2 linked regions of the Macaca fascicularis genome follow. The protein of the gene in region 1 interacts with the protein of each later gene in a biochemical or structural test. Links are inferred from orthologs where the notes say so. Each region holds a gene or a part of one and is shown on either strand. Other genes may lie near its edges.

The links.
Region 2: the proteins of TNFRSF13B (region 1) and TNFSF13 form a complex in vitro, tested with the Homo sapiens proteins (2 studies listed by BioGRID and IntAct). The link is inferred for Macaca fascicularis from reciprocal best matches to the Homo sapiens genes TNFRSF13B and TNFSF13.

The regions. Positions count from the first base shown.
Region 1 is NC_088390.1:17,064,523-17,069,712, reverse strand, and holds the start of TNFRSF13B (tumor necrosis factor receptor superfamily member 13B), read left to right. Parts: upstream 1-1,926; 5' UTR 1,927-1,931; coding exon 1,932-1,992; intron 1,993-5,190. UniProt on the Homo sapiens protein: Receptor for TNFSF13/APRIL and TNFSF13B/TALL1/BAFF/BLYS that binds both ligands with similar high affinity. Mediates calcineurin-dependent activation of NF-AT, as well as activation of NF-kappa-B and AP-1.
Region 2 is NC_088390.1:7,605,953-7,611,124, forward strand, and holds TNFSF13 (tumor necrosis factor ligand superfamily member 13), read left to right. Parts: upstream 1-1,628; 5' UTR 1,629-1,918; coding exon 1,919-2,176; intron 2,177-2,509; coding exon 2,510-2,588; exon of another isoform or gene 2,589-2,620; intron 2,621-2,730; coding exon 2,731-2,778; intron 2,779-2,935; coding exon 2,936-3,054; intron 3,055-3,235; coding exon 3,236-3,374; intron 3,375-3,621; coding exon 3,622-3,731; 3' UTR 3,732-3,896; coding exon of another isoform or gene 3,897-3,903; 3' UTR 3,904-3,978; downstream 3,979-5,172. Other genes in the region: TNFSF12 (tumor necrosis factor ligand superfamily member 12), read left to right, coding at 1-228. UniProt on the Homo sapiens protein: Cytokine that binds to TNFRSF13B/TACI and to TNFRSF17/BCMA. Plays a role in the regulation of tumor cell growth. May be involved in monocyte/macrophage-mediated immunological processes.

The sequences.
Region 1 (5,190 bases):
GCATGTCCTTGCAGACTTCTTACGCTTCACAGTTATGTGTGCGTGATCACGGACAACACGGTGCTGTACTGTGTGTGTATCTGTGTGTGTGTTGTTTGTTTTTGTTTTACTAAAGGCATCATGCTGTAAGGCTCATGCTATAAGCTACTTTTATTTACTCAGCGTCTGTCCCGACAGCTTTGAGATGTCTCATTCTTTTAACTGTGGCATTGACTCCTGGCTCTGCCCTGTGCACCCTGCTTATTCAGGCATCCTCTGCTGTGTGGACATTTACATGGTTTCCAGTGTCTCACTGTCGTTAGGAGGCTCACTGAGGAGGAGAATTTCTGGGGAGTGGGTAAGGTCTGTGTTCTGCATTTAACTGACCCTGGCCAGTTGCCCTCCAGAACGCTGCTGCCAGCTCCCTCCCTCCAGCGGGACGTGAGGTTATGTTCTGTAGATCACCCCCTGCTCTTGATGTTATCAAACATTAAAACTTCGCAACCTAGTAGGTGAAAGTTAGTTTTTCATTGTTCAGTTGTGTTTTTCTGATTTTTGGGAGACTGGACATTTTCCGTGTTTGCTGACCGTTTGCATCTCCTCTCCTGCTCTGTGCTCCATCACCCTGCTCCAGCTGCTTCCCGGAGCCTCCTTCTTTACTCTCCACCTGCCCGCGTCCTCCTCGTCTTTCAGTTTCTTCCTAAGGGCCCATGGGCTTTCTTTGGTTTTTACGTTCCTCTCACTCTGCCTTTGGCTGTTTCTGGGCCTCCCATCTCCTGGGAGGTTTCAGAGGATGGGGAAGACACAGGAGTGTAGTCGCCATGCAGTGCAATATGGGCTGTAGTGTTCATCCTCCATGGCCTTTATTGAGGACTTACTGTGTGCCAAGAACCTGCTCTAAGAACGTAACTGTGCTCCCTCACTTCATGCTCATAACCACTTGTGAGACGGGCAATGTTCTCATCCTTTTTTTTTTTTTTTTTTTTTTTTTTGGAGATGGAGTCTCTGTTGCCCAGGCTGGAGTGCAATGGCATGATCTCGGCTCATTGCAACCTCCGCCTTGCAGGTTCAAGCCATTCTCCTGCCTCAGCCTCCCAAATAGCTGGGACTACAGGCACAGACTGGGACTACAGGCCACCACACCTGGCTAATTTTTTTGTTTTTTGTTTTTTGTTTTTTAGTAGAGATGGAATTTCATCATGTTGCCCAGGGTGGTCTCGAATTCCTGAACTCAGACAATCCACTCACCTTGGCCTCCCAAAGTGCTAGGATTACAGGCGTGAGCCATCAGGCCCGACCTCATCCTTGTTTTACACAGAGAACATGGAGGCACAGAGGAGTTCCATAAATTGCCACCAAGGCCTTCCACTGGTGTGCAGCAGAGTCAAGATTCAAACCCAGGCTGTCTGGCCCTGGGGTCCAGCCTCTCCAGTGCTCTGCTAGGTGCTGGACAGGGTCAACGAGACACAGAGAATGAGCACCACCTGACAGACTGGGACAGTCAGGGACGGCTTCCTGGAGGAGGTGACACCTCAATGGAGCCTTGAGGGAAGAGCAGGAGGGGCTGACCAGGCAATGAATAGAATAAGTATAACCAGGAAGAGGGAAAAGCCTGAGTGTTGCTGGGAGGCTGGAGAGCTGGCCTGGCTTGGGGTGTGTGCCAGGGGGGCAGGACCAAGGGATGGCCAGGGCCAGATCTAGAAAAGCCTGGGCCATCCCATAGTCAATACCTCATCGCAAGGCCCGGCAGGCCTTCCACTGCTCTGTGTGTACCCCATGGGACGCCAGGAGCCTGGGCTGCAGCCACCCACCTGGGCTCCTTAGACCCAGTGCACAGGCATGGGGGCGGGAGTGGGTGTGGCTGATTTACATCCAACAGGTTGAGGGGAAAACCCAGGAAGTGCAGCCCAGGCACTAATCAAATCTAAGACTAATAATAAGCATCCTGAGTAATGAGTGGCCTGGGCCGGAGCAGGCGAGGTGGCCGGAGCCGTGTGGACCAGGAGGAGCGGTGTGAGTAGCCGGGCAGGAGGGCAGGAGGGCAGGAGGGCAGGAGGGCAGGTGTGAGGTGTGAGGAGGGTTGGGCCTCAGTGCTGTGGGGGTTGGCAGTGTCTGGTGGGTGCAAGGCCCACAGCAGATCCACACACTGGGGCAGTCCCAGCCTCCCAAGCCCCGGCACATGGAGAGCCCTGGATCTGGATGCCTCTGGGGTGTGGGGCTTGCCTTCCGGGAGAGAAGCCATCGAGGCTGCAGGGTTGGCCACACCAGCAGGAATTCCCTTTGTCACCACGGCCCTCTGGACACCCCCTATTTTCCCCCTTACATGCCCGCTGGACCATTTTAATGCTAATCTCAAACACCAGATTGTTTGATTTGTAGAGACCACAGGATCTATTCCTTAAGAACACAAACTCTAAAACCAAAACAAAAAACGAAGCATCATACCATCACCCCTGCTGAAACAACAATTCCTGAACATCATCACATAGCCCGCCAGGGTTCAAACTGCCCCGACTATCTCATCTATGTCTTTCTCAGTTGATTTGTTCAAATCAGCCTGGCCCACATTAGACTTTTGGCTATGTTTTAATCTATAACAGTTTCCGCCCATTTTTTCCTCGGTTATTTATTTGTTGACAAAATTGGACTATTTATCCTATAGTTTTTTTTTTGTTTTTTTTGAGACAGAGTCTTGCTCTGTCACCCAGGCTGGAGTCAATGGCCTGATCTTGGCTTGCTACAACCTCCGCCTCCAGGGTTCAAGCTATTCTCCTGCCTCAGCCTCCCAAGTGACTGAGATTATAGGTGCTCACCACCACGCCCGGTTAATTTTTTGTATTTTTAGTAGAGATAGGCTTTCGCCATGTTGGCCAGTCTGGTCTCAAACTCCTGACCTCAGGTAATCTACCTGCCTCAGCCTCCCAAAGTGCTGGGATTACAGGCGTGAGCCACGGTGCCCGGCCCTTATAGCATTTTTATCAGAGTGAGTTTCTAAGGTTTTATGAAAGGGCCCCAGGTCCGTCACTGTGCAGACAGAACCCATGGCCAGATGGACCGGGGCACAGCCTAGATTCACAGCCTCTCCCTGCTGCTCTGTCCTACACCCCAGGCAGGGAGCAAATCTGTTCTCCCATCCTCTTTTGTGTCCAGCCACCATGTCCCCAGAATCTACCAAGTCAGGGGCTCAAATACATAAAGTTTCTGAGAGACTTGGACAAGGCAGTGACCAGAGGCTGCCTTGACACAGGATGAAATTGCCCAGGCCTCTGGCACCACGAGTCAGGACGCAGCTAGAACTGTGACCTGGCAGTGGCAGCAGCTGTCTGGTGCTGCCGAATCAGCCCTGAGCCACTCTGGGACCTTGGCTGAGCCGCTTCCCCTCAGTGTAAAATGAAGTAGACTGTCTTTCCTACCAGACATCCCTCAAAAACACAACAGTGCTTTGATGAAACTACCAGACCCCCTCTTGGGGAGTCACAAGGAAAGGCTCTGAGAAGACCTGCAGTTAAAAGAAATGCCTTGACTTTCTTTAACCCAGTGTTTTTCAAACTAATTTGATCACAGAGATCTTTCTTGGTATAGCACCTGTTAACCAGCCAAGCACGTGAGGAGGGACAAGCAGAGGGCTCTGATAATCACCCTCCTTGGCTGCTGTCTGGTCTCGGGATGCAGGAGAGAGTTTCCATCTTGCATCCAAATTTGTGGCGGCCCAGAGTGTGAGCCCAGCCCACAGAGCTAGTGTCAGATAGGAGTTCCCTTTCTTCCCTTTCCGTCAATGGAGCTTCTCTCTCAAGCTTCTATTCTGCCTGGCTGGTGTCAGTCATGGGGTTTTCCCACCCTCCTTTGGCACTTGATGATGGTTCTGGGATTTTATGTAGGTCCATATGGTGGTAGAGGAGGGGGCAGGGACAGGCCCACTGGTCAGCTTGGCATCTGCCATCTGGTCAGTCAGGCTCCATCTCTCCTTCAGGTCCAGTGGCTTTGGTGGCTTCCAGGCAATGAATGGGTCTTGGAACCTCTCCAAAGCTGCCCTTGTCACATAGAACCTCCTGCCCACCTTCCACTCAACCAACCCTTCACGGTGATATGCGGTGGGTGGCGGCTTTCTCCCTCTTTGCTCTTCCACCCAAATATGGGGAGAATCAGGGGTCTGTCTTTAATTTTGTTTGATCTTTTGATTTTAGATTTGCTTTTGAATAGATAGTATAGTCAGATGGTTTGAAACCCAGAAAGTATTGAAAGATATATAATAGAAAGTCTTTTTTTCTCCTTGTCCTCCATCTGCCAAGTTCCCACCTCCCCTAGAATAAGTAGCTTTATTTACATATAACTTACATGCCGTGAAATTCACCTGTGTAAAGTGTACAAGTCTGTGTTTTTGGTATATTTACAGAGTTGTGCAACCATCCCCGTAAGCTAATTTTAGAACATTTCGATGACCCCAAAAAGAAACTTTGTCAGTCTTCATTCCTCCCTAGCCCCAGGCTAATCTACTCTCTGTCTCTATAGATTTGCCTATTTTGGACATTTTCCATAAATGGAATCATATGTGGTGTATTGTGACTAGCTGTTTCCACTTGGCATAATGTTTTCAAGGGCCGTCCAAGTTGTAGCAGGTATCAGTACTTCCTTCAGTTTTGTGGCTAAATCACATTCCATTTTATGGATATATCATGTGGCTTATCCAGTCATCGGTGGATGGACATTTGGGATGTTTCTACTTTTTGTCACTGTGATTATTAACAATGCTTCTATGAACTTTTGGGTTTAAGTTTTAAGTGAACATGTCTTCTTTTCTCTTAGACGGATACCTACAAGTGGAATTGCTGGGTCATATGATACATTCTATGTTTAACATTTAAAGGAACTGCCAAATGCTTTCCAAAGTGGCTGCACTATTTTATAATTCACTTCAGGCACGAAGGTTCTGATTTCTCCACGTCTTCACTGACGCTTGTCATTGACCGTCTTTCTCATTCTAGCCATCCCAGGGGGTGTGAGGTGGTATCTCACTGTGGTTTGGATTTGCATTTCCCTAGTGACAAATGATGTTGAGCATCTTTTGCATGTGCTTTTTGGCCATTTATATGTTTTTTGGGGGAAAATGTCTATGGAAATAGTCCATATAAAAATTGGGTTATTTGTCTTTTCATTATTCTGTTATAAGCATTCTTTATATATTTTGGATACAAGCTCCTTATGAGGTATAAG
Region 2 (5,172 bases), about 9.5 Mb from region 1:
GTCTACCTGAAGCTGGACTTGCTGGTGGATGGCGTGCTGGCCCTGCGCTGCCTGGAGGAATTCTCAGCCACTGCAGCGAGTTCCCTCGGGCCCCAGCTTCGCCTCTGCCAGGTGTCTGGGCTGTTGGCTCTGCGGCCAGGGTCCTCCCTGCGAATCCGCACCCTCCCCTGGGCCCATCTCAAGGCTGCCCCCTTCCTCACCTACTTCGGACTCTTCCAGGTTCACTGAGGGGCCCTGGTCTCCCCACAGTCGTCCCAGGCTGCCGGCTCCCCTTGGCAGCTATCTGGGCACCCCAGTCCCCTGTGCCCCACCCTCAGCTGCTCTTTGCTCCAGACCTGCCCCTCCCTCTAGAGGCTGCCTGGGCCTGTTCACATGTTTTCCATCCCACATAAATACAGTATTCCCACTCTTATCTTACAACGCCCCCCACCGCCCACTCTCCACCTCACTAGCTCCCCAATCCCTGACCCTTTGAGGCCCCCAGTGATCTCGACTCCCCCTGGCCACAGACCCCCAGGGCATTGTGTTCACTGTACTCTGTGGGCAAGGATGGGTCCAGAAGACCCCACTTCAGGCACTAAGAGGGGCTGGACCTGGCGGCAGGAAGCCAAAGAGACTGGGCCTAGGCCAGGAGTTCCCAAATGTGAGGGGCGAGAAACAAGACAAGCTCCTCCCTTGAGAATTCCCTGTGGATTTTTAAAACAGATATTATTTTTATTATTATTGTGACAAAGTGTTGATAAATGGATATTAAATAGAATAAGTCATAGTCTCTCTCTTTATTGGGGCTCAGGGGACACTCCCAGGGTAGATGGGGGTCGTGGGAAGGGGGGCGTTACAGAGCGGCACAGCTGGAATTCCAGGATGATGTTCAGGCTTGGGAGCGGGGACCTCCATGCTTCCAACCCCCAGGTGGGAGCAGAGCTAGAAAGGCACACCGCCCAGGAAAAAATCAATGGTCCGCCCAAGGTACAGCAGAAGCGGCCTCCTTTCCCAAGGAGGCGGACTTCCTCCTCCGGGGGAATCCCTCCCTGGCTGGGAGGAGCAGGGGCCCTTCCTCTTGGTGGCCTCGGGACATTCAGCAGGTGCTGGCACAGGCCCTTGCTGGGAGGTGGGGTGGGCAGGAGCCAGCCTGGAGGAGGGGCTCAGAGTCAGCAAGCACACGGGAACCCGGAACCCTGTGTGCCGGGGAGGAATCCTGCAGTGGCCGGGGGGCTTGGGGCTGCTGCTTTGTCTCTTCGTCCAGAGCCTTATGTAAGAGCTTTTCTCGGGAAACAGGAAGTCCTGCTTGCCAAGTTCAGCACAGGGAGTAGTGCAGGCCTTATTCCAACACACCCGGCCCAGCCTTAACCCCAGAACTCAGCCAGTTTCTTGCTTCCGTGCCCCTGGTTCTCCTCCCCACCGAGCCCACCCCTCCTTTCCCACCTTCAGTCACCCCTAGTAAACTGCCCCAGTGATCTCTGCTGTGCCTGAGCCAGAGGGTCTTTCACCCTCGCCCTGACCCTGGACACTGCCCAGCTTGGCCCCCCATCCTGCTCCTGGCACCATGCCCTCTCGCCAGCCAACCTTCCCTCCCCCAACCCTGGGGCCGCCCTAGGGTTCCTGCGCACTGGCTGTTCCTCCTGGGTGTCACTGGCAGCCCCGTCCTTCCTAGAGGGACTGGAACCTAATTCTCCTGAGGCTGAGGGAGGGTGGAGGGTCTCAAGGCAACACTGGCCCCACGACGGAGTGCCAGGAGCACTAACAGTACCCTTAGCTTGCTTTCCTCCTCCCTCCTTTTTATTCTCAAGTTCCTTTTTATTTCTCCTTGCGTAACAACCTTCTTCCCTTCTGCACCACTGCCCGTACCCCTACCCGCCCCGCCACCTCCTTGTTACCCCACTCTTGAAGCCACAGCTGTTGGCAGGGTCCCCAGCTCATGCCAGCCTCATCTCTTTTCTCGCTAGCCCCCAAAGGGCCTCCAGGCAACATGGGGGTTCCGGTCAGAGAGCCGGCACTCTCAGTTGCCCTCTGGTTGAGTTGGGGTGCAGCTCTGGGGGCTGTGGCTTGTGCCATGGCTCTGCTGACCCAACAGACAGAGCTGCAGAGCCTCAGGAGAGAGGTGAGCCGGCTGCAGAGGACAGGAGGGCCCTCCCAGAAGGCAGAAGGGTATCCCTGGCAGAGTCTCCCGGAGCAGGTGAGTGAGGGGAGGAGGGTGTCTGGGAGAGAAGGATGGTTAGCATGGGGGGGGGGTCTCTGGGCCTCCTGGTCTGCAAAGTTTCAAGGGGGTGCAAGAGAGGGTCTCCGGTTTGGAAGTCAGGGGCGCGGCCATTCCAGGAAAGGAAACTGTTAAAGGTTAATGCTTCTCATACCTAACAAATCCTGGAGGGCAGCCAGCACCAACACTCCGGTTGCTGGGAAAAGGTGCATGAGAGATTTGAGGCATTTCGGGGGCAGGGGAGGGCTGGGAAGGAAGGCTGGCTGGGACTCTTGCATCTCAATCTAACCCTGATCCTCTTTCCATGAGCAGAGCTCCGATGCCCCGGAAGCCTGGGAGAATGGGGAGAGATCCCGGAAAAGGAGAGCAGTGCTCACCCAAAAACAGAAGAGTGAGGCTTCCAGGGTGCAGCAGGGGTGGGAGGTGTGCAGCAGCATGGGGATTGTAAGCCCGAGTCAGGGTGAGGGTGGAGGCTGCCAACAGCACAACGGGGAAAAGTGGACACGGCTGAGATTCCCTCCTTCTCTCCTCAGAGCAGCACTCCGTCCTGCACCTGGTTCCCATTAACGCCACCTCCAAGGGTTAGCACTGTTTTAAATATGGCTTTGGGGAGGGGCAATAACCAGCAACTCTCGGGCTGGCACTTGGGCTCAAGGGGTTCTTATAGGTGAAAGGGGAAGAACCAAAAAGGATCTGAGAGTGCCAAGAAATCCTGACCGACACACTTCTCACCTCCAGATGACTCCGATGTGACCGAGGTGATGTGGCAACCAGCTCTCAGGCGTGGGAGAGGCCTACAGGCCCAAGGATATGGTGTCCGAATCCGGGATGCTGGAGTTTATCTGCTGTATAGCCAGGTAACCCCGCCACACTCTGAGCTTCACAAGGGGCCTCTTTGGCCCGATACTGAGGGTTCCTGACCCCTCTATTCATACCAAACCTAGCAGACCCTTCATTCTTCCCTCGTTATCGCTCCTGAGGCCTCCCAGAACTGAGCCAGGCCATCCTGTTTTCTTCAACATCTCCCTTTCCTGCCAGGTCCTGTTTCAAGACGTGACTTTCACCATGGGTCAGGTGGTGTCTCGAGAAGGCCAAGGAAAGCAAGAGACTCTATTTCGATGTATAAGAAGTATGCCCTCCCACCCGGACCGGGCCTACAACAGCTGCTATAGCGCAGGTGAGAGCCGTGTGGGCAGCCGAAAGCAGGACATCTCTGACAGGGGGTGCAGTGCAGGGAGCTACCAATTGGAGGGAGGCTGGAAACCTAAACAGAGGCGGACCTCTTCATTCTGAGGAGTGAAGTGAGTGCAGAATGCCTGGGTCCTTACAGGAGGTAGAGGAACGGTGGAGCTGGAAAGGCAGGGGGAAGCAGGGCATCTGGATGGCTGTGCTTCACTGTGAATCTACTTTCTCTCTTTTCTCAGGTGTCTTCCATTTACACCAAGGGGATATTCTAAGTGTCATAATTCCCCGGGCAAGGGCGAAACTTAACCTCTCTCCACATGGAACCTTCCTGGGGTTTGTGAAACTGTGATTGTGTTATAAAAAGTGGCTCCCAGCTTGGAAGACCAGGGTGGGTACATACTGGAGACAGCCAAGAGCTGAGTATATAAAGGAGAGGGAATGTGCAGGAACAGACGCGTCTTCCTGGGTTTGGCTCCCGGTTCCTCACTTTTCCCTTTTCATTCCCACCCCCTAGACTTTGATTTTACGGATATCTTGCTTCTGTCCCCCATGGAGCTCCGAATTCTTGCCTGTGTGTAGATGAGGGGCGGGGGACGGGCGCCAGGCATTGTCCAGACCTGGTCGGGGACCACTGGAAGCATCCGGAACGGCACCACCATCTAGCGGCCGCTCGAGGGAAGCACCTGCCGGTTGGCCGAAGTCCACGAAGCCGCCCTCTGCTAGGGAAAACCCCTGGTTCTCCATGCCACACCTCTCTCCAGGTGCCCTCTGCCTCTTCACCCCCACAAGAAGCCCTATCCTACGCCATTCTCTCCAAATATCGGACCCCAGTTTCCATCACTATCTCCAAAGATGTATCTATTATGCGCCCGTCTACAGGGGGTGCCCGACGAGGACGGTGCCTTCGCAGTCAAATTACTCTTCGGGTCCCAAGGTTTGGCTTTCATGCGCTCCATTGCCCCGGCGTGGCAGGCCATTCCAAGCCCTTCCGGGCTGGAACTGCTGTCGGGGGAGCCTCGGATGTATCGTACGCCCTGGTGTTGGTGTTGCCTCACTCCTCTGAGCTCTTCTTTCTGATCAAGCCCTGCTTAAAGTTAAATAAAAGAGAATGAATGATACCCCGGCTCCATTTCCCCCACTGCCTCGCCTCAGCCCGGTCCTCGTACGGGGATCTCCCGCCCTCCTGGCTCTCCTGTGGCGCGCCCCGCGCCGGACCAAGGTACTAGGGGCGCCGCTAGGGTCAGGCCGGCGAGAGCGGAGAAGACAGAGCGCGGCGCAAAAGGGAAAGTGGCTGGGACGCCACGCGCGGCCGGGAGGCAGATGTGCGCAGGCGCAGTCCTGTGTACCGCTGTGGGCGGGCCGGTCCCGTGGCGCCGGCGTCCTCGGGTAGGCGGGACTGGGCGCTTGGTGGCCGCGCCGGCGCTCTTCGCCGGGTGTGACGTACTAATCGTGCGCCGACACTGCCGGTGGGCCCGGGGCTCGCGGGAGGGGAAGGAGGAGGAGGGGGGGAGGAGTGGCGGCGGCGGTGGCGCTGGTGGTGGCGGTGGTGCTGGTGGTGGCGGTGGCGGTGGCGGAGGTGGAGGTGGAAGCTGAAGCTGAAGCAGAGCCAGAGGCGGCGCGGCGGGGTGTTCGGCGGCGCGGCACGCGGCCCAGAAGCGTTGGAATCCTGAATTGAGACGGCTGCGCCTGAAGACAGCAGGAGTGGCGGGGCCGCCGCCGTCGCCGGAGAGATGAGCCGGGAAGCTTGAGGCCGGAGACGCCCGCCCTCGGGCCCGTCTGCCCGGCTTCCC